3 linked regions of the Canis lupus familiaris genome follow. The protein of the gene in region 3 purifies or fractionates together with the protein of the main gene of each other region. This does not show direct contact. Links are inferred from orthologs where the notes say so. Each region holds a gene or a part of one and is shown on either strand. Other genes may lie near its edges.

Region 1 (3,744 bases), on a different chromosome or scaffold from region 3:
TCATGCCCTGAGCCAAAAGCAGACAGACGCTCAACCACTGAGCCACCCAGGCGTCCCTCATTTTATTTTTTATTTTTATTTTATTTTTTTGTCCCTCATTTTAAAGATAAACTTGAGTGAACCTCGAGATTCACTGATCCTAGGAGAGGAAGGGACTGATGACTGTGGCGTGGAAGGTTAGTTCACACCTTCGATCATAGCGAATCAAATCACACAAGGATTATTTTAACACAAGCTTCCAGTGATTTTCCCTCTTCACACCCACTCTACACCAGTTATTTTTGGGGGGAAGAAAAGGAGTAATGCTAAGACTGGGAATGAGAATCAAGAGGCCACTGACCTCAATGAAGAACAGTATACAATTACAGTGGTCAGGCCCCCAGAATGATGCCATCTTAGCACGGTCTCTAGACCTGATTTCACAATTCCCTGCTCTCACTGGAACTTCCACGAACTAATGCAGTTTCCTAATAATTAGGGTTTTGACTGTCCTTTGCCTACTCAAGGAGGAAAATTTTCCACAGCCTGAAAGACTTCACAGAGGTCAACCAATTTGGCCTGAAAGGACAAGGGGCTCTTGGGCATCAGTCCTGCCCCGTTGTTCATCTGGGGCGGGGGGGGGGGGGCGGGGGGGGTTTGCAAAAAAGTACCAACGCCCAGGTTCAGGGCGGCGAGAGAACCTGATTGTCTGGTTTGGGGTGGGGCCCAAGCATCAGTATTTTTAAGATGCTCCCGAATGACTCCGTTGTGCAGCCAGGTCGGAGAATCCCTGCCGGGTAAGCAGAGCCTAGAAAACGAGAAGGGGAAATTCCATATCCAGTTTAACCTCTACCCGCAGCACCTGCTCTAGAGACCAGTTAAGTAGAAAGGGAAAGGTAGGAATTAAAAAAAAAAAAAAAAGTAAAAGTAAAAGGGATAAAAGGGAGAGGTCAGTTCCAGGGAAACGGCAGCGGCACCACGGATTCAGGAAAGGCGTCTGTGGGGAGCGTTTCCGTGAGCAAAGTTCGGCCGGAGCCAACTTCTGACCCACGCGCCAGCGCGTGCGGCGGTCCGTGGGGTCAGCTCCTTCATCACCGACGGTGAACAGCTGTCTCGGGCTCGCCCACGTTGGGCCCACGCACACGGAGGTCGAGCCTGGGGCGCAGCCCTCGCGGAGCTCAGCCGGACGTCGTGAAGCAGGGTCCCCAGACCCGCCGCCCAAGCCCGGGCGCCCTCGCGTCGCCTGCGGCCTCGAGCCTCGGGAAACCCGGGGGCGACCCGTGGCCGCGCTCCCGCCGGCGGCCGAGGGGGCGGGGCTGCGCTGACCCCGCCTCCGGGCGACGGGGCTCTGGTTTCCGCCGGGGGATGCGCCAGACTTGCCGCCACTTCCGGGAACGCAGACGGCCTGGGCCGCTTCGCAGCGACCGGCAGCCTCGCCTTGACGTCACATCCGCGCGCCCCGGTAAACGTCAGTGTTGGGCGCACAGCGCGGCGACGAGGTTTGCTGGTCAAGTTTCGTCTCCGTTGCCTCCTTATGAACCATGGAGAGTGACTTTTATCTGCGTTACTACGTGGGTCACAAGGGCAAGTTCGGCCATGAGTTCCTGGAGTTTGAGTTCCGGCCCGACGGTAAGAGCGGCCTCTGGCCCCGGCCGAGCGAGGACGGGGCCTGGGGTCGGGCGAGCGGGGAGGCCCGGGCTCCGGAATGTGCGAGGAGGAGCTAGGAGAGGACGGGACTGATGACTGCGGCGCGGATCTGAAAGGGCCACTCCTGTGACCGCTCCGCTGGTTCTTCCCATGTGCACGAACTTTTTTTTTTTTTTTTTTTTTTTTAACTAGAATGCTTCATTCAGCAGACACTGATTGCATACTTTGTGCCAGGCTCTCTTTCACAATTTGGGACAAGTTTCCTCTCATAGCGTATATATTCTGGTGCTGGGAGAGATATAAACAAACAAAGATTTCAGATAATGACGAGTGGTCAGAGCATGAAACAAAACGATGGAGTAATTGCTAAAAAGTGGACTGCTTTTAAGCAGAGTGGCCACTGGCGTGCTCTCTGGAAAGGTAGTATTTGAACTGAATCCTAAGTGACAAGAAGGAGAGCCAGCTTTGTGAAGCTCGGGAAGAAGGGCATTTTGGACAGAGGGAGTAACAAGTGTTAAGGCTTTGGGGCATGAACGAGCATGTTCCAAGTGGCCAGTATGGCTGAGGAAGTAGTGAGCTCCGAGGAGAATAGTAGGAGACAATGTCAGATAAGCAGGGGTACACCATGTAGGTCTTTACAGGCCATGGTGGAGAGTTTGGATTTTATTCTAAGTGCAGCAGGAAGCAACTGGAAAGTTTTAAGGAGAGAAGAGATGTGATCTCTTCCTGAAAAAGTATTCTAATCATGGAGTATGATTAGAAATAGAGTAATGATTAGAAAAAGTAATCTATTCTAATCATTGCAAGAGTGGAGACAGGGCAACTTATTAGGAGACAGTGAACAGTTGTCAAGGTAAAAAGGATGCTGGTTGGGACTAAGGTACTATCAAAAGCGCATAGAAGGGTTCAGGATACTGTTGGAGGCAGAACCAATAGGACGTTGCTGTTTGATAAGATCTGGGGGAAGGACCACTGTGGGGAGGAAAAGGAATCAAAGATGACAAAAATAAAAAATAAAAAACCTCCCACTAAATGGGGGCACAAAGATGAATCTGACAAGCCCCAGTTGTAAACAAACAATGATAGGATAGTGTGTTTGATGCTGTGGTACAAAGAAACGGAAGGGACTCTGGAGCAGAAAGAAGGCAACCTAACCTAACCCTCAGGTAGCCTGAGGATGGGAGAAAGCTTCCTGCATAAAATGACTTGGGGGAAGAGGAGTGATAGTCTTAGTAATGTGCAGGAGTTGGTTAGGCATTTGGACATCAACATCAAAGAAGCTGAAAACCAAAAAGTGCATGGGATGTTTCAAGCAGAAACCAAGTAAGGTGGTTAACTCCAGCTGTGTAAGAGTGGACTATTGCAGGAGGGAGCCTGAAAGGCAGGCAGGGGCTCAGCTTAGCAGTTATGCCATGTTGAAGAATTTGGATTTTTATCAAGAAGGCAGTGAGAAGGGATCCCTGGGTGGTGCCAGCAGTTTAGCGCCTGCCTTTGGCCCAGGGCACTATCCTGGAGACCCGAGATCGAGTCCCATGTCAGGCTCCCAGTGCATGGAGCCTGCTTCTCCCTCTGCCTGTGTCTCTGCCTCTCTCTCTCTGTGTGACTATCATAAATAAATAAAAATTAAAAAAAAAAAAAAAAGAAGGCAGTGAGAAGCTATTGTCATTATCAAAGTGTTAGAGTAACCTGGGGCACCTGGGTGGTTAAGTAGTTGAGCGTCTGCCTTTGGCTCAGGTCATGGTCCTGGGGGCCTGGAATCGAGACCTGCATTGGGCTCCCTGAAGGAGAGCCTGCTTCTCCCTCTGCCTATGTCTCTGTCTCTCTCTCTGCATCTGTCATGAATTAATAAAATCTTACCAAAAAAAAAAAGTATTAGAGTAACCTAATTAGATTGGTCTGTTACTACATCACTTTGTCTACCGTATGGAGAATGAACTGAACCAAGAGAGACAAGGCAGAGATAGTGAGTGCAGTGAGGCATCAATTAATCTGGCTCTTTTTACATGTGTAATCCCAAAGGTAAAAATTCATCTATTTCCTTTTCTCTTCTTTTCCTTCATATCTAGCATATAGCCTTTTGGATGCATATACACACAAAAGGCCTTGTATACCAAATAT
Region 2 (3,735 bases), on a different chromosome or scaffold from region 3:
GGAGGCCTCGTCCACATCTGGAGGAAGGACAGTGAAAGGTCAGAGCGGTGGAAGCATCCCCCAGTCTCTGGGATGAAGATAGGGGCTGGTCCTCAACCTGCCACCCACCCACCCACCCACGGGAAGGAGCCGTTCTCACTCACATTTCTGGTAATAGGCCACCAGCGCCTTGGAGATGGACTGGCGGATGGCTGTGAGAGAAATACATGCACAGAAGAGTATATCAGCTTTGAGAAGGCCCAAGAATAGGGCCTGGCTCTCAGAGCCACCTGCCCATCCGTCCCCCACCCCCCCGCCATACGCCCAATTCCTGGAACTTACCGTAAATCTGGGCCACGTGACCACCACCCTTCACTCGGACACGGATGTCCACCCCGGCAAATCGCTCCTTGCCCAGAAGCAGAACAGGTTCCAGTAGCTGGAGAAACAGGGGACATGACAGGATTTCCTATCACAACCTGGACAGCTGACTATCTCACTGAGCACCCTACTCCTCTCTCTCCAAATAACTGCCACCACTGACCTCAAAGCACTAGTGGGCAAGGAGATGCACAGCCAGGAGAGCAGGGAGCACTTGAAGATGGATGAGAGACTCCTGAAGGCAACCTGAGCTGGGCCCTCCTATTTCTGTCCCTCTGGGCCTCAGTGTTCCCATCTCTAGGACTGGTTCTTAAAAGTGTTAGCATTGGGATCCCTGGGTGGCGCAGCGGTTTGGCGCCTGCCTTTGGCCCAGGGCGCGATCCTGGAGACCCGGGATCGAATCCCACGTCAGGCTCCCGGTGCATGGAGCCTGCTTCTCCCTCTGCCTGTGTCTCTGCCTCTCTCTCTCTCTCTCTGTGACTATCATAAATAAATAAAAATTAAAAAAAAAAAAAAAAAGTGTTAGCATTTTAACTGAACACGGCAAACCTCTACAACCACCAAAACTACTGCAAACGGTGAAAAGCCACTCCTGGACCATGTCTTGCGCTTTTTCTGGATTTCTCCCCTTGAGCTCTCTGCCCAGCCCTTTGAACCTCCCATTTCCAAATTACAATACTACACAACCTGTGCCATGCTATCCCCTTGCTGGCTCTAGATGTTTTGCAAGTGCCTGCGTGCTCCTGTTTTACCTACTCTAGGTCTCAGCTCACAGATCCCCATCATCACTTCCACCCACTCCCCAAGCCTGTCCTGATCCTTCCACCTAAGTGGAAGCGTTCTCCGGGTTCTTCCATTCCAACAGACTACGCTGGATTAGTGTCTGGTACTGGGTCCAGTCTGCTTCCTCCAGTGGACTAGGAGCTCTATGAGGGTAGGGCCTGGGACCACCGCTCTGTACACAGGACACACAAGCAAAACTTTTGTATAACTGACAGTCGGTAAGAGTAAACCACAGTACTCGATTATCTACTATGCCAAGGCATCTAAGACTCTATCCTATTAAATTCTAACTAATAAACCTACTACAGTAAAATTATTTTCCGCAATTAAAAGTAACAATTTTACCACAACCCTACACACTGGAGACTAATGTAACATTGTGTGCCCACTACACTAAAATCAAAAATTCAAAGGTAATAAAATAAAAGCAACATACTTTATGAAGAAACAAATGCATTTATTCACATGTTAAGCAGTTTACACTAACAACCTAATTCATCCTCACAACAGTCCTTCAAGGTAATAGTTATCCCACTTTTATAGAAGAACCCAAAAAAGAAAAATGAAGTTACTTCCCTCAAACAATAACATATATAAAACAGGCAAAAAACAGACTCTGCTCTTTCCATTCTGAGCTCAAGAAACTGAGGCAAAAACACGCAGGGGACCACGAACCCCTTTCACAGCAAATCACAACAAACCCAAATTCTGTTTCTGTTCTTCCAATATTTAATTGTTGACCATCAACAGTGTCCAAACCCTACTCTTACAAAGTTTTAAGAAACCCTGACAGAAATAAGAAATTGATTTCTGTTCTCTGAGTCTACACTCTAGCAGGAAAAAAGATGTTAGCTTGTGAACACAACACACGTCCCGCATTAACTTAGTGCAAGAAACCAGACTGCACCAACTCCTGTTGCCTTTCATTCCCCCAGTGAGTGGACTTCCAAAAATCCGAGTTTTTAAAGCATCTTCATTTTTAAAAAAAAGACTTTATTCATGAAAGACACACAAAGAGGCAGAGACACAGGCAGAGCGAGAAACAGGCTCCGTGCAGGAAGCCCGATGTGGGACCCGATCCCAGACTCCAGGATCACGCCCTGAGCCGAAGGCTGATGCTCAACCTCTGAGCCACCCAGGTGTCCCTGAAAGGACCCTCTTTGGATGCTTTCCAAAGCAAACGTGGATATCTGCAATATCCACGTTTTCACTCTGCCCACTCAAACTTTTATCACGGTATCTCAAACCCCCGAAAACCACTTCCCAAGGCCCCTTTTTCTCTGCCCCCAACTGTTTCTAAATATCCTCCAGCTTCCAAGGCCAATGAACTCCAGGAACCGACTTACTTAAACATCTCTTTCTAGCTAAAGGCCTCCACTCAACCCAAACGCCCCTCCCCAATCCAGCACCTTGTACTGCAGCGTGCGTGGCTCGATCATCTCCAGGGGCCGCCCGTTCACCTTGATGAGGCCGTTGCCCCGCTTGCAGTGCGCCACGGCGGTGGCCGTCTTCTGTGGAAAGCAAGGGAGCAACCGCGCAGCCACGTGAGCTTCGGCCCCCGGCTCCCATGTCCACCCCACAACGGCTGACCCCCGCCTCCCTCCGCCCCTCCCTTCGGGCACCCAGACTACCTTACGTCCGAAGACCTGCACGGACTGCAGAGGACCCTTGGACGGCATGGCTGCGACGGTAGGGAAGAGCTCTTCACCGCGCGGCGCTGCAACCGGAAAAGGAAAATGCGGGGCCGCCCCAGCCGCTTTTCAGGGTCTGCGCAGGCGCTTTGGGAGCTACGTCGCGACGGGAGAGAGCTTGACGGCACATATTGCAGCCAGGGGGCGGGACTTCGGAATAGCGGCGGGAAGGTGGGTCCAAGGACCGGAGGAGGCGGGACCTGGGAGCGGAAGGGGCGGGGCCTGAAGTGCGCTGCGTGCAATCGCTGGAGAAGGCTGAACACCCGCTGTTCTTCACACTCACCCTGGTCGTTGCCCCCCCGCTGCCACGTTTGCCTTTCGGCTCTTTAAAAATTTCCCTCCACCCAAAAGCTCGATTCTCACGGTCCTCAGAAGAGGCTCCCGTTTACCCCTCGCCACTGGCTATCGTCCTCCCCTGCTCCGCAAATCCTCCCTCGGAATCGCACCTACGGAACCCACAGCCGGAAGTCAGGCGGGATTTCCAGATTCAGGATTCAGAACCCACCTGCTCCGAGAATCCTCTCCCAGAATCTCCTTTTAGCGCCCCACGCTCAGAATCTACTCTTCACCAGAATTCCCTTCCTTTTAGAGTCTCCTCCAGACTCCCCCCCCCCTCTTCAGAGCCCTCACTCAGCTCCTCTTTCCCCGAATCTTCGTCCACTCAGGGGCCCCGGAATCTACTTCTGCCCGCAATCCACCCTTCCTGGAACCTCCTCGGTAGAATCCCCTTTCACAAAATTTCTCTCCCTTTTAGAGCCTCCCTCCTTCAAAATCTACTTAAGAATTCCCTTCCCTTTAGAGCCTCCTCTTCCCAGCAACTGCCTCCCCTAGGATGTTCCTCCCCTAGAATTCTCCACACCTTAGAGACCCTCCCTTCATTTCTTTTTTAAAAAGATTTTAT
Region 3 (3,744 bases):
GGGGCCCAGGGTTGGGACCCAGGCAGGTCTGCTGGGCACATAATAGCACAATTGAGTTTCACTTCCTGTCAACCCCCGAGCTGAGGCAAGATGTTTGGGGGCACAAGGAGGGGCCTAGGGTTGGTGACTTTAGGATTCTCTCTTGCAGAAAGGTCCATTGATCCATGCATCCCTCTAGTTAAAGGCTTCATTACGCATTCTCACCTCTAATAATCATTAATAACAAGACTAAGGACAAGATGCTGACCCAGTGAGGCTGAAGCCCAATTGTTGCAAGAGAGCAGGGGTTGGGGCACCTGGGTAGCTCAGTGGTTGGACGTCAGCCTTGGGCTTGGGTCGTTATCTGGGCATCCTGTGTCTCTGCCTCTTTATGTCTCTCATAAATAAAATAAATACAGTTAAAAAAAAAAAAAAGACAGCAGGGATTAAGAATGGCAGTGTTAGGGATCCCTGGGTGGCACAGCGGTTTGGCGCCTGCCTTTGGCCCAGGGCGCGATCCTGGAGACCCGGGATCGAATCCCACGTCGGGCTCCCGGTGCATGGAGCCTGCTTCTCCTTCTGCCTATGTCTCTGCCTCTCTCTCTCTCTCTCTCTCTGTGACTATCATAAATAAATAAAAAAAATTAAAAAAAATATTTAAAAGAATGGCAGTGTTAGAACATTGGGAATAACTGTGTATTGAGTGCCAATCAGTGCTTAAGTGAATCTTTTAAAAATTTTTATTTATGTATTCACGAGAGACACAGAGACCCAGGCAGAGGGAGAAGCAGGCTCCCTGCAGGAAGCCCGGCGCGGGACTCGATCCTGGGACCCCGGGGTCGCGCCCTGAGCCGAGGCAGACGCCCAACCGCAGAGCCACCCGGGCGCCCCTAAATGGGTCTATTTGGGACCTTCTGAGCGGGGCCTCTGGTGCGAGACAGGAAGGTGGAGGAGGGGATGGACGACAAGCGACGACCTGAGAAAAGTTCAAAGCTTCCTATCAAAGTTTTAGGAAGTTAGGCAGTGCTCTCGCCTCTCTCAAGCGCGTGCGGCCTAGTGTCGGAGGTAGGCCCTGAGGCCGGGCCCTCGCGGTGCAGGGGACGTTAACGTAGCGTAGTCCGTAGCCCGAAGCGGGGGCCTGGGGGTCAAAGATCCGCAGGGAAGGGCAGCGCAGCGGGAGCGCGGAGCCAAGCCCCAGGAGAGGAGCCTGCCGCCGGCCGCTCCCGGGCTGCGGGGCGACCTCTGGGTCCCTCCGGGGAGCGGGAGGCACCGGCCGGCGGGCGGAGGGAGGGGCCCTGCACGCGGCCGGCTCCAGCTCGAGGCCCGGCGCCCAGACCTGCGCCAGGTTAATGAGACTCTAAGTGGCTCCGCCCAGAGGCCTCCGCCCTGCCCTCCGACCCCGGGGCCGGCCCGAGGAGGCCGCCGGGCCGGCCGGGGATCTCGGCGGCAGCCCGGGCCGTGCGGGGCCGAGCGGGCGGCCCCCGACAAGGCCGGGCAGCCGGTGCGCGCCCGAGGCCCCGGGGCCCGGGGGCAGGGTCCGGCCTGACCCCTCTACCGGCCCGCGCTCCGGGTGCCGGTGGGCCTTGCCCCTCTTCCCCGAAGGCCCCGGACGGACGGAGGGGCCGAGCCCCGGAACTTCTCTCACACGGACCAGGCGCCCGATATTGGTATCACTGGCCCTACTAGAGCCTCCGGCTTTTATTTTATTCAAGTCTTTAGCTTCTAGCTGCCTTTAGTCTTCAGCTTCTCCGCCGCCTCCGTCCACGAAATGGTGCACTCTCCCTTTAAGACTAAAATGGTGGCTGGCTGCGATCTGGACTCCACTTCCGGTGGGGAGGGGGGCGGGACCCCAGCCCGCTCACGCCGGAAGTGGTTTGCGTTTTCAAGATGGCGACTCCCTATGTAACTGACGAGACCGGCGGTGAGTGCGGGAGGCGCGGAGCCGCTTCTCCCCGGGCTCTCGGGGCAGGGGTTCGGACTTGGAAAGGGGTCTGTGCCCCGCCCATCTCGGGGCCCCTCCTTTTGCCCCGCCCTCCGGACCGCCTTCCCCATTCATCCTCTCCTGTGGGGTGTCACCTGCGCCCCCTTCTGGTCTCGCGTTTGGGGGTCCCTGCTTCCGGTCACCCAGACCCTGGGGTCCTTCAGTGAGGTCCCTGCTCCAGGACCCTCCTAGGCCCATAGCTTTCCTCCAGCAGCTGGAGATCCCATATCTCTCTTGGCTGCTCCAGGTGTGGGAACTCCTATACTCTCAGTTCCCTCCAATTCCAGCTTTACTCCGGCTCCCCTCCCCCACCTGGCAGCTGTACCTGCCCTGTGCCCTACCCCAGCCCCGTCTTGGTTCTCTTCCTCGAAGCTCTATCTGTTAAAGACCTCTTCGTTGCCATAGAGTGCTTTTTCCATTCTCTCCCTCGCCTTCATTTTTGGGTCACTGAGGTTCAGAGGTGTGAAGGGAAGAGGAATCGAGTATAACTTTCAGCTTGAGTTTTCTTCTTGATGGCATCACCCTTCTGTACCTTCTCTGGTGGTGGTGGTGATAAAAGTCGAGGGAGCTGAGGTGGAAGAAGGCAAACAGGAGGTGTCTAAGTGGCCTCTCAAGCCCTGTGACAAGTTCATAGAAGCCACGATTCTGGCTAGAGAAGAGTTTCCGGCCTGGCTGGTGGAGATGCTGAGGTGTATGGAGGTTGATGTGTTGAAAACTGGAAGTCAGTATTTTCATTTTGGTTTTGTCCCATCCTGATTTCCTCATCTTTAGAAAAATGTGCCTAGGAATATCTACCTAGTGACGATCAAGTAAGATAGCATATGTGAAAGCAATTTATAAAAAGCTGTACAAGGCTAGGTGTTACTGGTTTTTGTGGCCTTGGCTGTGTACATGCAGTCTCTTGTAGACGTGACACTGTGTGTGCTGCTGTGCTCTGAATTGTGCCCTTTATGCTTCTTGCTTTGCTACTTTCCATGTTCCTTAGGTCTCAGCCCACCTCTCCTGTGGTATCTTATGACAAGCCGGGTCTCTGCTACTTGTCTCCAGCCTCACATTTCAAAGTGGTGCACAGAACCTCTTCTGTTCTCTACAGAAGATCCTTCTTCTACTGGCTCCTTTTAATGTGAGCTTTGAAAATATTACTTACTGTTCAGTGTGCTTTTCTTTATTCAACTATTTTCTTAAAACCTATTTCACAAAAATCCAGATACCACATTTCACTCTACTCGCCCACTAAGAGTTATCTTCTGTTCTCTGACTATGTAGAAGAGAAGGAATAGCACTGCTTTTTTTTTTTTTACTTTGTCTTACTACTTCCAGATCATTGACCTACCACTGTCATTCTAATCTTTGTGGAAGGTATTGCCATGCAATTATAGCATTTTCTCTAAAATCTCAGGGCCATCATTTATTGCCCATAAGGACCCAGACCTGTTGCATCACTTTTTTCTCCACTGTGTTTCTTGCTCTTTTTTTTTTAAAGATTTATTTATTTATTTATTTATTTATTTATTTATTTATTTATTTATTTATGATAGACATAGAGAGAGAGAGAGAGAGAGGCAGAGACACAGGAGGAGGGAGAAGCAGGCTCCATGTTGGGAGCCCGACGCGGGACTCGATCCCAGGACTCCAGGATCGCGCCCTGGGCCAAAGGCAGGCGCCAAACCGCTGAGCCACCCAGGGATCCCCTGTTTCTTGCTCTTATTCTCAGTATCTCCAGCATCTTTGAAATATTCTGGTCTTATAGTTCCTCAGCACAAGATGGTTGACTTTCCTTTGTG

What was found.
Region 1: the proteins of PYM1 (region 3) and MAGOH purify together in Homo sapiens (co-immunoprecipitation; 8 studies listed by BioGRID and IntAct, counting the BioPlex papers as one, with this or other methods). This does not show direct contact. The link is inferred for Canis lupus familiaris from reciprocal best matches to the Homo sapiens genes PYM1 and MAGOH.
Region 2: the proteins of PYM1 (region 3) and RPS16 purify together in Homo sapiens (co-immunoprecipitation; 3 studies listed by BioGRID and IntAct, with this or other methods). This does not show direct contact. The link is inferred for Canis lupus familiaris from reciprocal best matches to the Homo sapiens genes PYM1 and RPS16.

Annotation. Positions count from the first base shown.
Region 1 is NC_049226.1:56,149,051-56,152,794, forward strand, and holds the start of MAGOH (protein mago nashi homolog), read left to right. Parts: upstream 1-1,390; 5' UTR 1,391-1,520; coding exon 1,521-1,608; intron 1,609-3,744. UniProt on the Homo sapiens protein: Required for pre-mRNA splicing as component of the spliceosome. Plays a redundant role with MAGOHB as core component of the exon junction complex (EJC) and in the nonsense-mediated decay (NMD) pathway.
Region 2 is NC_049222.1:114,582,041-114,585,775, reverse strand, and holds the start of RPS16 (40S ribosomal protein S16), read right to left. Parts: upstream 2,936-3,735; 5' UTR 2,823-2,935; coding exon 2,775-2,822; intron 2,655-2,774; coding exon 2,553-2,654; intron 419-2,552; coding exon 322-418; intron 192-321; coding exon 144-191; intron 18-143; coding exon 1-17.
Region 3 is NC_049231.1:616,550-620,293, reverse strand, and holds the start of PYM1 (partner of Y14 and mago), read left to right. Parts: upstream 1-1,483; 5' UTR 1,484-1,866; coding exon 1,867-1,900; intron 1,901-3,744. UniProt on the Homo sapiens protein: Key regulator of the exon junction complex (EJC), a multiprotein complex that associates immediately upstream of the exon-exon junction on mRNAs and serves as a positional landmark for the intron exon structure of genes and directs post-transcriptional processes in the cytoplasm such as mRNA export, nonsense-mediated mRNA decay (NMD) or translation.